Linked DNA regions of Lepisosteus oculatus. The protein of the gene in region 1 purifies or fractionates together with the protein of each later gene. This does not show direct contact. Links are inferred from orthologs where the notes say so. Each region holds a gene or a part of one and is shown on either strand. Other genes may lie near its edges.

Region 1 (7,716 bases):
ACTCACTATTTTGCTCTCATAAAAGTTCCTGCAGTCCAACAAAATCGTGTCATTGCAAGATTCATATTTAGATAAAAAAGCTTCAACTTCCTTGTGAAACTCCTTTGGTTCTAAGTGGGTTCCTGCACAAAAATGAACACAGATTCAGAATAAAAAAAAAAATTTTACTCCCATTTTACATCCATAAATAGATACACTGCATTCACAAAGGATAAATAGATTTAGAAAAAAGGCTGTATGTTATATACATGTGTATATAATTGTATGTTGGTACAATTAACACAAAGCTTAAATAGCAATGAAACTTTTAAAGATGATCTTTGGCGTCTAGATCTAGAGATATTTGTTTAAACCAAATTTAAACCAAAATTCTAATGTATCTGCGAACAAGACTAGACAGCAAAAACATTTTTTTCTTTTTATATTTAAGGAGACAATAAATCTTGTCACCTTATAATAGCTGTATTTTAATATACTTACCGGCAAGCCTATAAGAGAGTATGTCTGGGTCCACCCCCATGGGGACTATTTCTTTAAACACTCCCACCTTCAGGTCCGGGAAGCAGTGAGCCCCACCCTCACTGGTCTGTCAAGGCACACAGTGTAACCTGGCACATGAGTGGTGAAATACTTGCTGACAAAAAACATCTAGGGCTCTTAACTTTGCAGGTAAAGAGGTCTTAAGGTCCATTGGTGCAAACAAGATGACACCCTTTGCCATAACAAATGGGTCTGATGGTGCAAATAAAGGCCCTTGTGCTTAAGAGGTCTCCAAATTCAATCATTTCAAAGCTTACCGCATAAGAATTAAGACAACCCAAATGCAAAAACCTTTGAAGAGCATATAACAGTTGAACATTTTTCATTTATGTACATTTCCGTTCTTGCTAAAATGCATGGTGAATATAAAAACATAGTTTTAAAAATAAATAATTGTTTCAGCTATTAAACCATGGGATGGATGAGAGCAGATGCTTACATCTCTGTAATAGCGATAAATAGTGAAAATGGATAATCAACATTTCGTGTAGTGTCAATTAAATTATATTTTACTCAATAATATTGATTTAAAATGTCATATATCCTGAGATGTTAAAAAAAACCTGCACAGAACACTGAGAAAACAGTGAATGCCTTTTTAGTCTAAATTAAACCCATTTGAGAGTGTGACTTGGCCTTACACCAGTTAAGTAATTCATCAATTAATTCACCACATGGAAACGTGTCCAGTTTCATATAAAAAGAACTGTGATTACAACCTTATCCCAGTTCTTTATCACCCTAAGATATGTTTTCACTCAATAAGCACATCATTAGAGGAGAAGTAGAAAACAAATTGATATCTTCTTACCTTGAAATCATCCAGGCACATGATTTTGAACACTGGGTGGGAAAGCATTGCCTTAATATATAATCCGGTAGCCACTTTGCTGCCTCCTACTGTTCCATTAATTCCTTCTGTGGCAACTCGAATCTACAGACAAATATAGACGTATGGACTTTGTATGAAAACAAACAGCAATGGCTTTGGGGTGTCAAAGGAGATGACTGAACGAGTGGGACCTGATCTAGTTATCTTGCAGTGAGGGCGCTCGGGATTTTTTCCTAATTACATCACAGAAGTGAATGAAATTTTTTGTGTCGCTTAACAGCCTTGAATGGTAGAAATAAAGGCACTTACAAGTTTAGAACTGGTAGGAAAAGGCACAGGACCAACATACACATACATATAGAGAACAACAAACACTACAGTACAGACTGAAGACAGTACTGAGTGAATTCAAGACCTGATCTCTTGGTATCTTCCTACCTTTGAACTATATCACCTTTGAACTGTGATATATTTTTATAGTGCTTACCCACCTGAACTATCTTCCTACCTTGCCTTTTAGGTGCAATTTTTGGCACAGTGCCTTCTGCCAAGCACAGATTAGGTGGGGTCCCTCCACTTCGCAATAGCAGTAATACAGCAGCACTTCACCTGGTCCCCTGGCCAGAAATAGGGGACAGAACCATGAAAATTCAATATATTCACAAACCAGAGTGACATTTTCACACTGTTTCATTATAACTGCAACAATCCAGACTCACCACCATGCAATAGTGTACGTCTTTCATGTTTTGTAAAACAAATTGGGCTTTTGAACTGTGATATATTTTTATAGTGCTTAAGAACAGAACCAAACATCTTTACCCATCAAGCTCTGCCTCGTTTAAGTAACTGATGTCCGGAAGCCAGAGCTGCATGTCCATTACTTCCACTGCCGCAGGTTGGGCTGACGTGTTGCACTCTTTCACATTGCCTCTGCTCCCCAGGAGCGTCAGTATGGCCTTTGTGTGTTCCTGAATCTCCAAATCATGTGCCCTGGCAACGTGCTTGTGGATGGAAGCAGGATCCTTGAAGGTTTGGTCGCAACACTGCCAGTGCTTGTCTGACTGAGCAGAACGCGAATCTGAACCAGATGCTGAAACTTTCTTCGAGTCCACAAAAGTGGCAAATGCCTTCAAAGAAAAATCACTCAAGTCACCCGTGTTGCATTTACTCGGATACGTCCTCACAGTGAGCATTCAAGCCTGCTCTTTACCACCATTTGCTTTGCTCAATGGAAAATATAATAATAATTACTACTTATGCGTGAGCTTAACAGTCTGTCAGTATGTTACTACATAACATGTTAAAACGTACAGTAAAACCACTTCAATTCAAATGAATTTTGTGTCCAAATCACTATATTCTCTCAACTTGCCATAAAAAACCTACGTCGCTGTGCATACAGTGAGCCAGTGTAGTCACAGAGGGGCGGTACATGAGGTCACTCGATCTCAGCAGCTCCAGAAAGGGCTTCAGTAAACTCTGTCATTATAGTTCTGTGACACTCCCTTGGTCATGGTAAAAAATGTTCTATCAATTCTTTGTGATTAAGTTTGCTAGTACAAGTGATCATGGAAATTACTGGATCCTTATTACCATTTTCTTAAATCAAGAAAACAAATTCTTCAATACTCAAGGGTTTAATATTCAAATATAAAATGATAATCTATTATGAAATGAATTTGTACAGCGACCTGTGTAGCTTTAAAGATGGAAGCTGCACATTGGTGGTGGTAGAGGAGAGTCCCCATTACCTGTAAAGAACTTGAGTGGAGTGTCCAGAAATGTTTTATATAAAATGTAAGAAATTATGAATTATTATGATAAAGATAAAAACAAAAAAGATCTCCCTTCCACACTAAGCAGTAAACCTGAAACCCACCATAAGTGAACATCTTACCCTTTTCTTTGCGTATGGAAACATTTTACGTAAGCTAGCTTCATTTGGGGCTTTTGAGATATTTGGAGTTTTGTTGGTAAAGTTCTCATCATCGAGCTCAGAAAACAACAGAGTGCCAGGTTCATCTTCAAGAATACCAGAGGCTGAAGACATTTTTGATGTTCAAATGGTCTCTTCAGCCTCCTGTAAGAGACAAGAGGAAGGTGAACAGAATTGCTGTTAGAACAGAAATAAAGATATTGCTTTGCCATGTAATAAGCCAAACCAGTCTATGTTAGAAAGGATTACATAAATCTGTGGATTTAATTAACATTCATTAAAAACAGATCACAATTTTAAAGAACTTAAGAAAACACAACCACAAAAAACACAACATCTAAAACATTATAAACAATAAAGCAATAACTTCGAATCTATAAAAAAGTAGTATTTTATTTAGCGCATAATTGTTGTTTCAGTTAATATAAACTGCGGGTAATTATCTGCACTGATTCTGGTTACAATATAATTCTTAATGCTAAGGGTTCCTTCTAAAAACAGCTTCTAAAAAGACATCCAAGATGACTTTCATGAAAGATAAAGGGCAATGGAACTGCAGCCTAAAAGTGAAACTGAATACCAAGAGAAAAGAATAAACAAATGTAAACCAGTAATTTATCCATTTATCCTGAAAGAACGGCACAAGGTAGGACTGAGAACACATCACAGGACCAGGTGTACAACACAGAAATTTCCAACAATTTACGTTTCCTCAACGTGTAAAAACGTTGCGTATAAATATAAATTATGAAACTTCGATTTTCAGTGTGCTTAACTTACTTTTCACGTTAACACATTGCAGAGCATCGTGTTTACTGAGGGGGTATCGTTTATTTTTATGTCTAACTTTGCACGTGTGAAGCACATATAATCAGAGACGGCAAAAAACCCAGAATCAGCTGTTTTATAATACCCTAATTATTCCGGGTCTTTTAGCCCAGAGTTCTCCATATAGTCTGTTCGTAGTACTTGATTCACATTAGATTAAGACAATATTTTTTCTGCCACCATACCACAAAACTACACATCTGTGTGTACACCATGCAACTACTCTCACTAATACAACTAAAATCTCGTAATCATCGTTTTACATCCTCTTTCACGTCTCGTCAGTTTTTAAAAAGGTAACCGAACAGAAAGAAATTGCAAAAGTTATAAAAACTCGTCACACCTTACAGCGTCAGCTCCTACGGAGGACAAATGGCATTACACGCCACTTTACTTGAACCAGGGAAGTGTTTCCTGTGACAGGCCGCCTGTCCTCCGGATGAGATTGTGTTCAACTTCAGCGCCATATTGCGGCGTTTGAGGCTGTGTGTGTGTGTAAGGAGCTGTTGTTTCTAGAGGCGTGTGGAGCGTTTTAACCTAGGCGGATTTCGCGCTGCAAGTACAAGATCAAGACGTTTGAATAAGGGGACCGACTGAACTCTGTTACATCTTTAGAGGATTTACCTTTATAATTAAATTAAAAAATGTCAAGGAGGCGGCACAGTGATGAGAATGATGGTAGGTGGTTTTTGTATTAGTTTTGCAATTGAGGCACTGTCCACTTTTGATACATGGCTGTCCACTATCGATCGATGTGCTGTGAAATTTTGTTGACGTCTCACCAAAGAAAGTGATGCAAAGCAGTTTTTAATTGAGAAAATCGTTATCGGTTATGATATGGCCGGTAATAAAATAAGCCTCGCTATTTTAGTAGGAAGTGAAAAAATAAGCAGAATGCCCATTTTTCCCATTTGGAGCGGTTAAATCGAACTTTGTAAAAGTTAATTGCTGTCTTTCTGATAATGTAATAATAAACTTATGAATTATTCATTTATAGTCGTGTGGAAATAGGTGCATAGAGATCAAAGCTACCGCTCATTCATTTAGGGTGCTTGAATACTTTCTATGGCAGATGTAATGTTTGATTCAAATGTTGCACTTCTGAGCGGGCTTTTTTCTTCCTGCAATACATTAGCTACTCCAAATAGCCCACAAATTACAGTTATCTGTATAGCATATGTATGAACATAAATACGGAAAACATTTGATAATGCAGAGTAGATTGAATGTTGCACATAGACTGTAGGCTACAGCTTTGTTTTCCTTGTGTGTCTAGTAACCAGGGACCGTAAGTAACTTTAAATTAACATGAGTTTTAAAATAATATATTTTTGAGAAGAATACATAAAGTTGTATGATGATTTAAACCACCTTTAATTGTTCTATTACATTTTCTTTTCCTTGTAATTTAAAAATAATTGCCTTGAGTAACATTTTGGCTCATTAAGTTTTTTCCCCCCCTTAGGTTAGCATTGCAATTAGAGCTTAAGTAATCTAACTGGGTCTTCTTGATATAATACAAAATTCTTCAGTTCAGATTTCTCTTGAGATTCTTTCTCCAAGGCAATCTATGTTCTCCTCGCTTTCTTTGAGCATATGCAACTTAGAATGTTGATAAGCATAATGTTTCATATAGTGCTCTTTCTAATAGGAGGGCAACCTCATAAACGGAGAAGAACATCAGAACCCATTGAAATCGAAGATCGTCTTGAGTCACTAATATGCAGAGTAGGCGAAAAGGTAATTTTTACACTTTTTTACAATTGAAATAACACTTTTAATTAATTAAGCTGGTAGTCGTACCATTTACTAATCACAAACTGGGCTTGTTTTTATCTGATAATTTACTTTCTTAAAACATGTTAACCTTTCTTTTCAAAATACTGCCTGCTCACAAGTTGAATGTCGTGGTATTTAAGAATATGGATTTACTGCATTTCCAAGCTTTTGTGAAGCGCTTCCTTACAGCATTGTGTGCATATTGCAGTGTTGTGTATATAACGTTTAGTGGAAACCTGAACTCGATGATCTAGTTAAAGTGTTCTCTGATATATTAGCACACCTAGCCTGTATGTTGCAAAGTGGCAGGTTTTTCAGCAAATCTAACATGGGATTGGATTTGTATCATAACTGTGCTTGAATGTGCCCATCCTTAGAGTACGTCTTCATTGGAAAGCAACTTAGAGGGCCTGGCAGGCGTCCTGGAGGCTGACCTTCCAAATTACAAGAGCAAAATTCTGCGTATCCTATGTGCTGTGTAAGTGTTGCCCTTTGTGTTTTAATTTAAACTTCCATACCTGTGTTTGTGTACTTAAAACATCTCACTGGACACTTTAGATATGCATATACAATATAACTTTGATATTCACAAGGTTTTGCAAAGTACTACATTCACAATTTGGCAGATAAACTAGTCACTAATAAATATCTGCATTTGTGTGGATGAACTTTATTACAGTAAAGTAGTGCTGTATTTATAATAGTAATAAAAACTGTAAAAAAAGGGAAGAAGATACGCTTTATTAAGAATGACAGAAACACTAATGCAGATTAGTTCAGGTGGGTAGCTGCGTCAGCATGTGTAGGCTGCAAAGGAACAAGTAATAGGTTTATTCCATGCTGAAAGAAGAAGAAAGAGAACACAACGTTTCGGCCGTGGAGCCTTCTTTGGGTGTGAGCCTTCTTCACACCTGAAGAAGGCTCCACGGCCAAAACGTTGTGTTTTCTTTCTTCTCTTTTCAGTGTGGAATAAACCTATTACTAATACAGAGTAAGCTGTAATGGTGATCTAATTTATTTGTTTACATTTGCAACAACTTGAAAACAATTTAGTTTACAGTTCATTTTCATTAAATACTTTTTACCGGTAGGTGCTGGCACTATTTCTGAAATTCTTAAGTTAAAAAAAAAACATTACTACAGAAATCCTCTTTTGACACGCTTCGCTGTCCTGTTTTCTCCATTAGGTGTTGCATTCCACATTCGCAAAATCATCATTCTTAGAGTCTTCAGTGTACCTAATGCTCATAAATACTGAGGTTTTGTTGTATGCTATACATATGTTAACAAAAATTTGTTAGATGGCTGAATTGCCTCCTTTCCTTCCTAATCTATCCTTATGTTCAAAGGATAATGGACTTGGATATCAAGGGGTAGATTTTCTTGACAGGCACGTATAACTTTATTGAGAAAGTTGATAGTTATTTTTATTCAGCTAGATTTCATAGCACTACATTTAGGTTTGATAAAGCAACCAGTGAAACGCTAACCCCAAAAACTCATAGGAAAAAATAATAAGTTTAGGGCATAAGATTAGATTGGCTAAATCCTGGAAATGTCTTTCTCAAAAACACTCAGAATCAAGTATGATCAATTTGCATTTTGTTGCAATTTGACAAGCTTTCATGTATGTCTCTGTGTAGGTGTTCTATGTTTAATGCTATGTATTGAGCCTGTTGTTTTATTATTAGGGCTCTGTAAAATACACTTATTAAAAAATATCGATAATATAGTAATAAAAACAAAAAATGGCAGAAACTCAAAACTGTCCATGGTAAAAAAAAGTGTTAATACAACG
Region 2 (7,403 bases), on another chromosome or scaffold:
TATACACTCCCCAGTAGAGCACCTCGCAGTCTTAGTGAACCTTTTTCTCTCCATTTGCGACGAGTTTGTCCGTTTGTGTCTACGTGGGATTCGTGTAGCAGTCGAGGAGGAGAGAAAAATAACCTCAGCAAAGATGTTTCGTATGATCTGATAGCTAAATTTCCTCCAGTAAATTTGATTTCAGTTTCACTTTCTGACATTAAGAACATCAACAGATCGAAGATATTCGGAAAATCGGAGAACAGTGACTGTATTTGGCGTCAAGAAATAATCTACCTTCTAACCACGAGAGGGAGCGCTAGACCTTCCGACGGTTTCCGGCCGCGGACCGATCGAAAACAAAAAATATCCTGAATTTGGGTGCTGTGGTACAGTTACTGTACGTGAACGCCGCTAAATAATTAGGCTAGCCTTTTTAGTTTAGGGCTTTCTTTTAGAGGCCGCTTTGAAGTTCGTGACTGCAATGTGAATACATTAGCTTCTCTTCAACAGTAACTCAACAGAACATGTTGTTGGAATGGAGCGGAAGTTAAACTTGGTCCTTAGTTTTAATTCAGCAGACGATTTTCTTTAATCAGATAATAATTATTCATCTGTTTGTAAAACATGAAACTACCAATATATCTTAACTACTGTACGTTGTTGCAATTTGTTGTAGTTTTATTTGACCTCCTTAATTTTATTTCCTCTATGTGCTTGAAATCTGGCATTTTCCAATGGCAACTAGCTCATCCCATGTGAGGAATGTTTTTTTTTCCACAGCAATGGGATTCATTTAATTTTTTATTTTAACTTAATAGCAGAACGTCCTAAAGGTGGTTTATTATTAGCACATAACACCTACTGAATGCAATCAAGTACTGAAAAGGAAAAGACTTAAATCTACGTGTCCCTGGGGACCAATGGAGGCAGAGTTGTTCACTGCTGAACAGACTGAAATAGCCCTTATACAGTACTTCTGTAACATGAGAGTGTTGTTTTATAAGTTGACGGAGATTTAAGTGCAGCTGCAGAGAGAAAACATTCGATGTTGGTTCTGTGGGGAGGATGGGCAACGTCGGGCTGGTTGAAAATGAGGCAGAGCAAGCAGTCCGCTGCCCTGTTATCAGACAGAGGCCATATGTATTCAGAGCTCCAAAACCATCCAAACCTCATCGGGCATGGCGGTCTTCTTAACGGTACGGGGGCTGCATGGGTTGTGTTGATCACGTCGAGCGCAGGATGCTCCCAAGAGAAGGAGAAATCTCAAGAGAGGGGGAAAAACTACGGCTGGGACATGCAAAGTCAGCCTCCCTCAGGTCCTGGACACGCACTGATCTGGCTCATGCCAGGAAGGTCAGGCTGCTCTTCTCTCCCTGCTTCCCTGCTTCCCAGTGCTGTCCAATGTTCTGAAGCCGCCTGTCACATTGATTCAGTTCCCTTCTTGCACTGCGCACGAGGAGTGGTGAGGGGGGATTTTGCCAGTAAGTAAGCAATTGTCTTTTTTCCTGCTAGCTGCCGGAAACACGAGCTGGGGGGGGATTGTAAGGTTCTCAAAAGATTAACTGCCTTCCCTGCTGAGACTGCCTTTTTTTTTTTTTGCTCCTTTTCGTACGAGAGAAAATAAACATTGCGTGGCACTTCAGCTACAGCTGTTTTCAGGTTTCATTGCTGGCAGGGCCAGGGTCGTACACCTCTGTTATCGATCGCGTTTCTCTTCTCCCCCAAACGGTTAGTCACTTAGCAGCATTATGAATGGGACCGGATTTGTTTTTGCATTGATCTGCCAACCAATCCAACAGCCAATCAATCCAGAGAGACGTTGCCTGGAAATGGCAGGAATGATTAAGATCAGGTTAGGCATGCTGCTCTTTGTCAGATCGCGGAAAGGACTGGGAAAACCTTAAGAAAAATAAATGGCGACAAAAATTGCTGGCGTATTGCTGTTCTGGCCTATCTAGGGGTGTTTGTGATTGGATTGCTATAAATCCATCCAAGCCACTATCCTCTGTCCCTTATTGACTCCTGTGAGTCAGTGACATTTTAAAAATCCTGCATGGTAGGCGTTTCTGATCTAGAAAGCAAGGATTTTAAAGCCTGGAGGGGTCTGTGGAAGAAGAATCAGATTTGTATTCGAATTTTCAGATTCAAAGAGCTTTATTGGCATAACAGATTGATTACAATGTTAGGAAAGCAGCTATTATACCATCGTTTACAGTCATTGACAATACAAACATATCATTGCACATTTACTTACATCCCCTAAACATTATTGTGAGACTGGATCACCCTCTGCCCCTCCGGCTGGGGCAGGAGATCGCGAACTGGCCCGTTAGCTCTGTTGGATTTCCTGCCCTTTGCCCCCAGAAGATCGGAAGCTGATCGGATTCAGGCAGGTGTGGGAATTCTGGGATCATCGCATAATAGTGTGAGACAAGAAGAGCGCTTTTAAATGAGAGAATTGATCGGGGCCCCATATCAGTGTATTGATTATTTACTGGTGTTCAGGGGTGGGAGGGCTTGAATTTGACAGGCTGTTATTCGTGGACGCAGGGCTGTTATCTGTTCTGGCCAGTGTGCTTGCCGGAAAGGGAGGGCTGCCCCTTTACATCGATTGCATAGGGAAAGCTGTTATGTTGTGTGAAATTGTGCAATGTAAGCAGACAACAGCACTCTTTAGCACTTCCTCCTGGCTTTTTTATTCCGATCTGCAGTGACCTGGACCTAAGCCATGCTTCCACACATTACCTGATGGCCACTTCATCATGTAAGACATGGTCATGACAATGTAATGCTATAATGACAGGTAAGCCTGGTCAGATCAGATTCACAGTGTGAGGGCATGGGCATACACATTGCTACTTTTCATACTTTTGTAGGGGGGTCAAACATTTCCCTTTGTTTCTGGCAATTTGTGTGAATCGGAATGACCACAATCATTAAATGTTGCTCAAACATTTTAAAAGCAGAGAAACATTTATTCAGACCTGTGTACAAGGAAATTCTTTACCGATCACCAACGATGGGCTTATATTTTTCTTATTGTTTAAGTAAAGAGAAACTCCCATTTGTCCTTTGTTAGCTTTTAGTGAAAGCTTGGTCAGCAAAAAATATACATGTGGGTTGTGACTGTTAGTACAAGGAAGGATCTACAGTTAAAGTACCTGTGACTGAAGAGTGCCCAGTTTCTTTCAACAGGCTGTTAAAGTCCTTTAGAGGTAGCTCTGATTAGACACCTAGGGAGACGTTCTCCTGAGCTGTAATATCTGAATCCTCGTTCATTGAAAGTGTAGGTCTTTTCTGAGCACGCGCTGCATTGTTTCCAAGCATCTCTATGTGACAAAGGTCAGGCAAAGGTCACTTCCTCTTTCTATAGGCAAAGAAGGACCATGAGTTGTCATGGAAACTGTTCTAAGCCTGCCATTTGTACAAAAGTGTATTAGTCCTATTTATCTCCCACAGGCAGAAAGAAGCCAGAAAGAATCTGTATGTTATATTAAATTTAAAATATTTTAACCCTTTAAAAATATAAGTAAAACAAACAAATGTAGAAAGAATTTCAGTGGTAGCATAATGCACATTTTAGTATCAAACTTCAATCTAAGTTTTGTTAGTGGATTTAAATGCTTTTAACACATGACTTAAAAAAAAAACCTTCGACAATGTGAACGCTTGGTCCATTGACAAAATAATGCAGGTTAACAGATTGTCTCATCTGGTTCTGGATGTCTGTCGGAATTGTCTTTGTGACTTTGTGACAAGCAATAGCTTGATTGAATGCTTAATAAAGATGCCTAGACAGTATCCCTGTATGCAATGTACGCCAAAAAATATATAATTATATATATTATTATATATAATATAATTAAGCCTCTTCCATTTCTTTCCCCCCTCCAACTTGAAAAAAAAAAACTAATTTTCGGTCAGCGTCGGTGATTGAAAAGAAAGAACCTTTTTTGCAGGGCGAGGAAGCCCAGTGTTTTCCCTACAGTAATATATTTGAAACAGCGTAATATTCTTTAATAAGAAAAACAGATTTGGGCAGACGGCTACCATCGGGCATGTATCCCCCGCGACATCGCGGGCTCTTTGGTTCACGACCAGCAGCTGTGACACAGGTACAGCGGGGCTGACAGAAACGCCACTGCTAGCTCACCAGTGGTTTCGGATTTGCGGAAAGCTTACAACTTTCCTGGTGAAAATGTGACTCACGCCTGACTAACACAGCCCTGCGGGTTTCCCTAACAATCGTCTCCTTATGCCTCAACAGGTGAGTTGCAGCTCAGCCGACGACCGCAAGCCCTCTCCGAGGTGACGCATCGCCAGCATCTTAAATTTTCCTCCAAAGCAGATGCGGCTTAATTGTCCTTGATTGTCTGAGGGGCTGGCGGTTCTACCTTTGGCACAATGGGGGGTGAAGACGCCATCTGCAAACTCACACTTTGAGGTTTTACATTAATTAGTCATTAAAAGCGGAGGCGTACAGCGGCAGCACGGGGTTAACGAATATCTCGGTGTATTATTGTAACATCAAATTTAAATCTGCCTGTCGTCTAGCTCGCCTTCTGCAGGTATAAAAGACGGCAGCGAGAGACACGAGATCAAGAGAGGGAAGAAGACGGTTCTTCGGACTGGGGGGGAGCGACCGAATTACTTACTGGATTAGCTCTGTAATATTGGACAAGCAATTGCGTTTCCCTTTATATTGGTTTTACATATATTGAAAAACATTCTATTTTCTGTTTTCCCCGCAATGAAAACATCTGAAACTGTAGATTGCGTTTGTCACTGTGGAATAACCTGATCTTTGCGGTCCAGTCCCTTAAGAATCTTCATTTTGAGGCTCTGGTCTAGGTCTCCCGATATATTTTATCTTGCAGCTATGGGCCTGTGCTTTGGTGAGTACGTGCATCGCATATCTGTCTAATCAATCATCTATCTAGCTTAACTGGACTGCCAAGTTAGCTACAGGATGGATGCTAACTACGACAACAGAGAGTGGTTTTCTCATTACTCCTCTCGGCTAGCTGTCTAAAAGAAGCGCACAGGCACACAAAGGTGGATCGTTTAATCTATGTTGGCGTTTTTTTTTTTTGGTTACAGGTTCGCATTCTCGGGGTTTAATGACTCCTGCCCAGGTGTGGCGCTACTACACCGGCTCAGGTCAGTTTCTTAAAGCCGCGTTTCTTTTATCGTGCGAAACACGCACGCGATCAGCGAGGATCTCGAGCGGCGCGTCACCACGACAGCACGCTCGCGTGCGCTGGGAGTCAAAATGCCTTCGCGTGCCACGGCTAGGAGCACCAACATGCGGACGTGTGTTTCTAGGGATACGAGAATTATTCACATGCCCTCTCAACAGTCATGAAAAAAAAAACATCTTTCCCAACTTTGATCCACCTTGCATAGCATACTGTACTTAGGCAATTTAACTTTTTTTACACAAAACAGCCCTAAGTAAAATATTTATTCGATTGCGAAAACCAAAAGACCAAAAGCAATTCTGAGTGAAGAGTTAGACGTTTTGATCAGCTTTCGAAGTCATACAAATTAGGATGATTTGGCCTTCTGGGAACGAAAGCGTAATTTTAAGTGTTTCATTTAGAAAGCTTCCTATTAAAGTATTGTCTGCAAGGCTGAATCACGAAGAGGAGAACAATTGATAGCGCCGCTCGTTTTCCTTCGCGCAACAGATATGGATTATGGCACTCAAGAGAGTTTGAAGAAAAGTTAGAAATATGTGTAAATATCGAAAACGTAATTCCGTGCCGCTCAAATTGCTGGAGACGTATGTGTGATGATTCTGTTGGCTTGAGATGAGGCGGTTTAGGAAGACGAAATTTGCTCACAGGGCTGTCTGCTCTTCTACTTTCGCCTACTTAACATTGTACTTACAATGGCTATAGTAAATACGTACATTTTTTACAAAACGAAATGTGCTAAACTAATAATTTCCCAAGACACGACAGAATTAATTAGATTTTGCTTGATAGGCTATTTCTATATTTTTAGATTCGTTTTGTCTAACTTACGTTTTTGCACATATACATTAAATTTGAAATACCTAAAATGTATTCAAAATAGCTGACGTTTTACTAATATTTAACTCTTTAACGATTCGATTTTACAGCGCGTTTCGGTATAATTTTATTTATAAAATATAATACAAAGGATATTTTATATTTTCCATAGTATCGATCATTTTAAAGTAATGTAAAAAAAATCTTACTTTGGGGCTACGTGGTGATTGTCATTCGTTACTGATGTGTGTGTGAAGTGCCTGAATGCTCTTTTTCGGATGTTTGGATTTTTCAATAAATCAATGTATTGATTTCTTCACTGCACTGTTGTAAACATTTGACCATGAACATTTCTTCTGCTGTTTATCGTGCAATCATTATTTCGTATTTTTGATAGATTTGTCTGTAAACGACAACATCAAATAGTTTATTTCGTTTTGGACATAAAACTAGTTTGGATATTGATTTGTGTTTCCTTTTCCCCTTAATTACCATCTAGACCCGAATTAAAAAAGGATCGCATGTCAAAATCAATTGATACGAAGAAGAACATTTTGGCAAACAAATTATTATTCGTGCCAGGTTTTGATTTATTGGCGGCTCCTTCTGAAACCGCATATTTTACGTGGGGCTAAAAACAATGAATTCAATTTCTTGGGTTGTGATATATTAACTAACGCTTTTATTGTCCCTCATTTTCCAGTTTAAAGCAAAGTTGCATCCTATTTCATTTTTTGTCAACCACAAATATAATATTTTTCATACGATGCGGTAGTCCATTAATGACTTATCAGTTAACTTGTGGTTCTTTCATATCATTGGATATTCACTCAAAATGTTGTCAAATTTAAAAACGTGAGAACTGTGTCCCAATAGAAAAAGCAGTTTTGAGTGAAGAGTACCCCTTTTTGTAATGTAATGTTACGCCATTGACTGGTTTTAAAATGGCAGTGGTAACTGCTACAGCGTATATTGCTGCAGATTTGAGATATAGCTAGTTGCATGATAATTAAAGCCGATAATTAATTTAGAACATGTATGTTCTAAAGTAGCCGATGAAAAATAAACGTAACAACCACTGCAGCAGCCAGACGCGATGGAGGTAATCTTCCGTATTTAATATAATGGTGGAGCACACTGCGGTGGCTGTTTTGCAATAACCTGATGGTTACAGAAAATCAAAGGAAGGATATATTGATTTCCTAGTGGCAAGGCTTAATACTAATCCATAATACTTCAGTACATGGGGTACTTTTGTTTAAAATGTTAAGTTCGGAACGGTCCCCTTTTTTTTATTCAGATACATCAGATTTGGTCAAATAAAAACCACTATTAATCCGCTTTTTCCCGTGAAATCAGACGATTTTTTCCCACTATGTTCGATTCTCAAAGCTCCTATGTCAT

Evidence for each region. The genes of interacting proteins can lie anywhere in the genome.
Region 2: the proteins of nuclear cap-binding protein subunit 1 (region 1) and protein lin-28 homolog A purify together in Homo sapiens (affinity purification with mass spectrometry; 3 studies listed by BioGRID and IntAct, with this or other methods). This does not show direct contact. The link is inferred for Lepisosteus oculatus from reciprocal best matches to the Homo sapiens genes NCBP1 and LIN28A.

The regions. Positions count from the first base shown.
Region 1 is NC_090696.1:29,818,944-29,826,659, forward strand, and holds the start of nuclear cap-binding protein subunit 1, read left to right. Parts: upstream 1-4,606; 5' UTR 4,607-4,783; coding exon 4,784-4,817; intron 4,818-5,790; coding exon 5,791-5,879; intron 5,880-6,295; coding exon 6,296-6,396; intron 6,397-7,716. Other genes in the region: thiosulfate sulfurtransferase/rhodanese-like domain-containing protein 2, read right to left, coding at 7-122, 481-586, 1,352-1,474, 1,881-1,989, 2,195-2,502, 3,273-3,425. UniProt on the Homo sapiens protein: Component of the cap-binding complex (CBC), which binds cotranscriptionally to the 5'-cap of pre-mRNAs and is involved in various processes such as pre-mRNA splicing, translation regulation, nonsense-mediated mRNA decay, RNA-mediated gene silencing (RNAi) by microRNAs (miRNAs) and mRNA export.
Region 2 is NC_090706.1:5,681,543-5,688,945, forward strand, and holds the start of protein lin-28 homolog A, read left to right. Parts: upstream 1-4,375; 5' UTR 4,376-4,861; coding exon 4,862-4,877; intron 4,878-5,082; coding exon 5,083-5,142; intron 5,143-7,403. UniProt on the Homo sapiens protein: RNA-binding protein that inhibits processing of pre-let-7 miRNAs and regulates translation of mRNAs that control developmental timing, pluripotency and metabolism.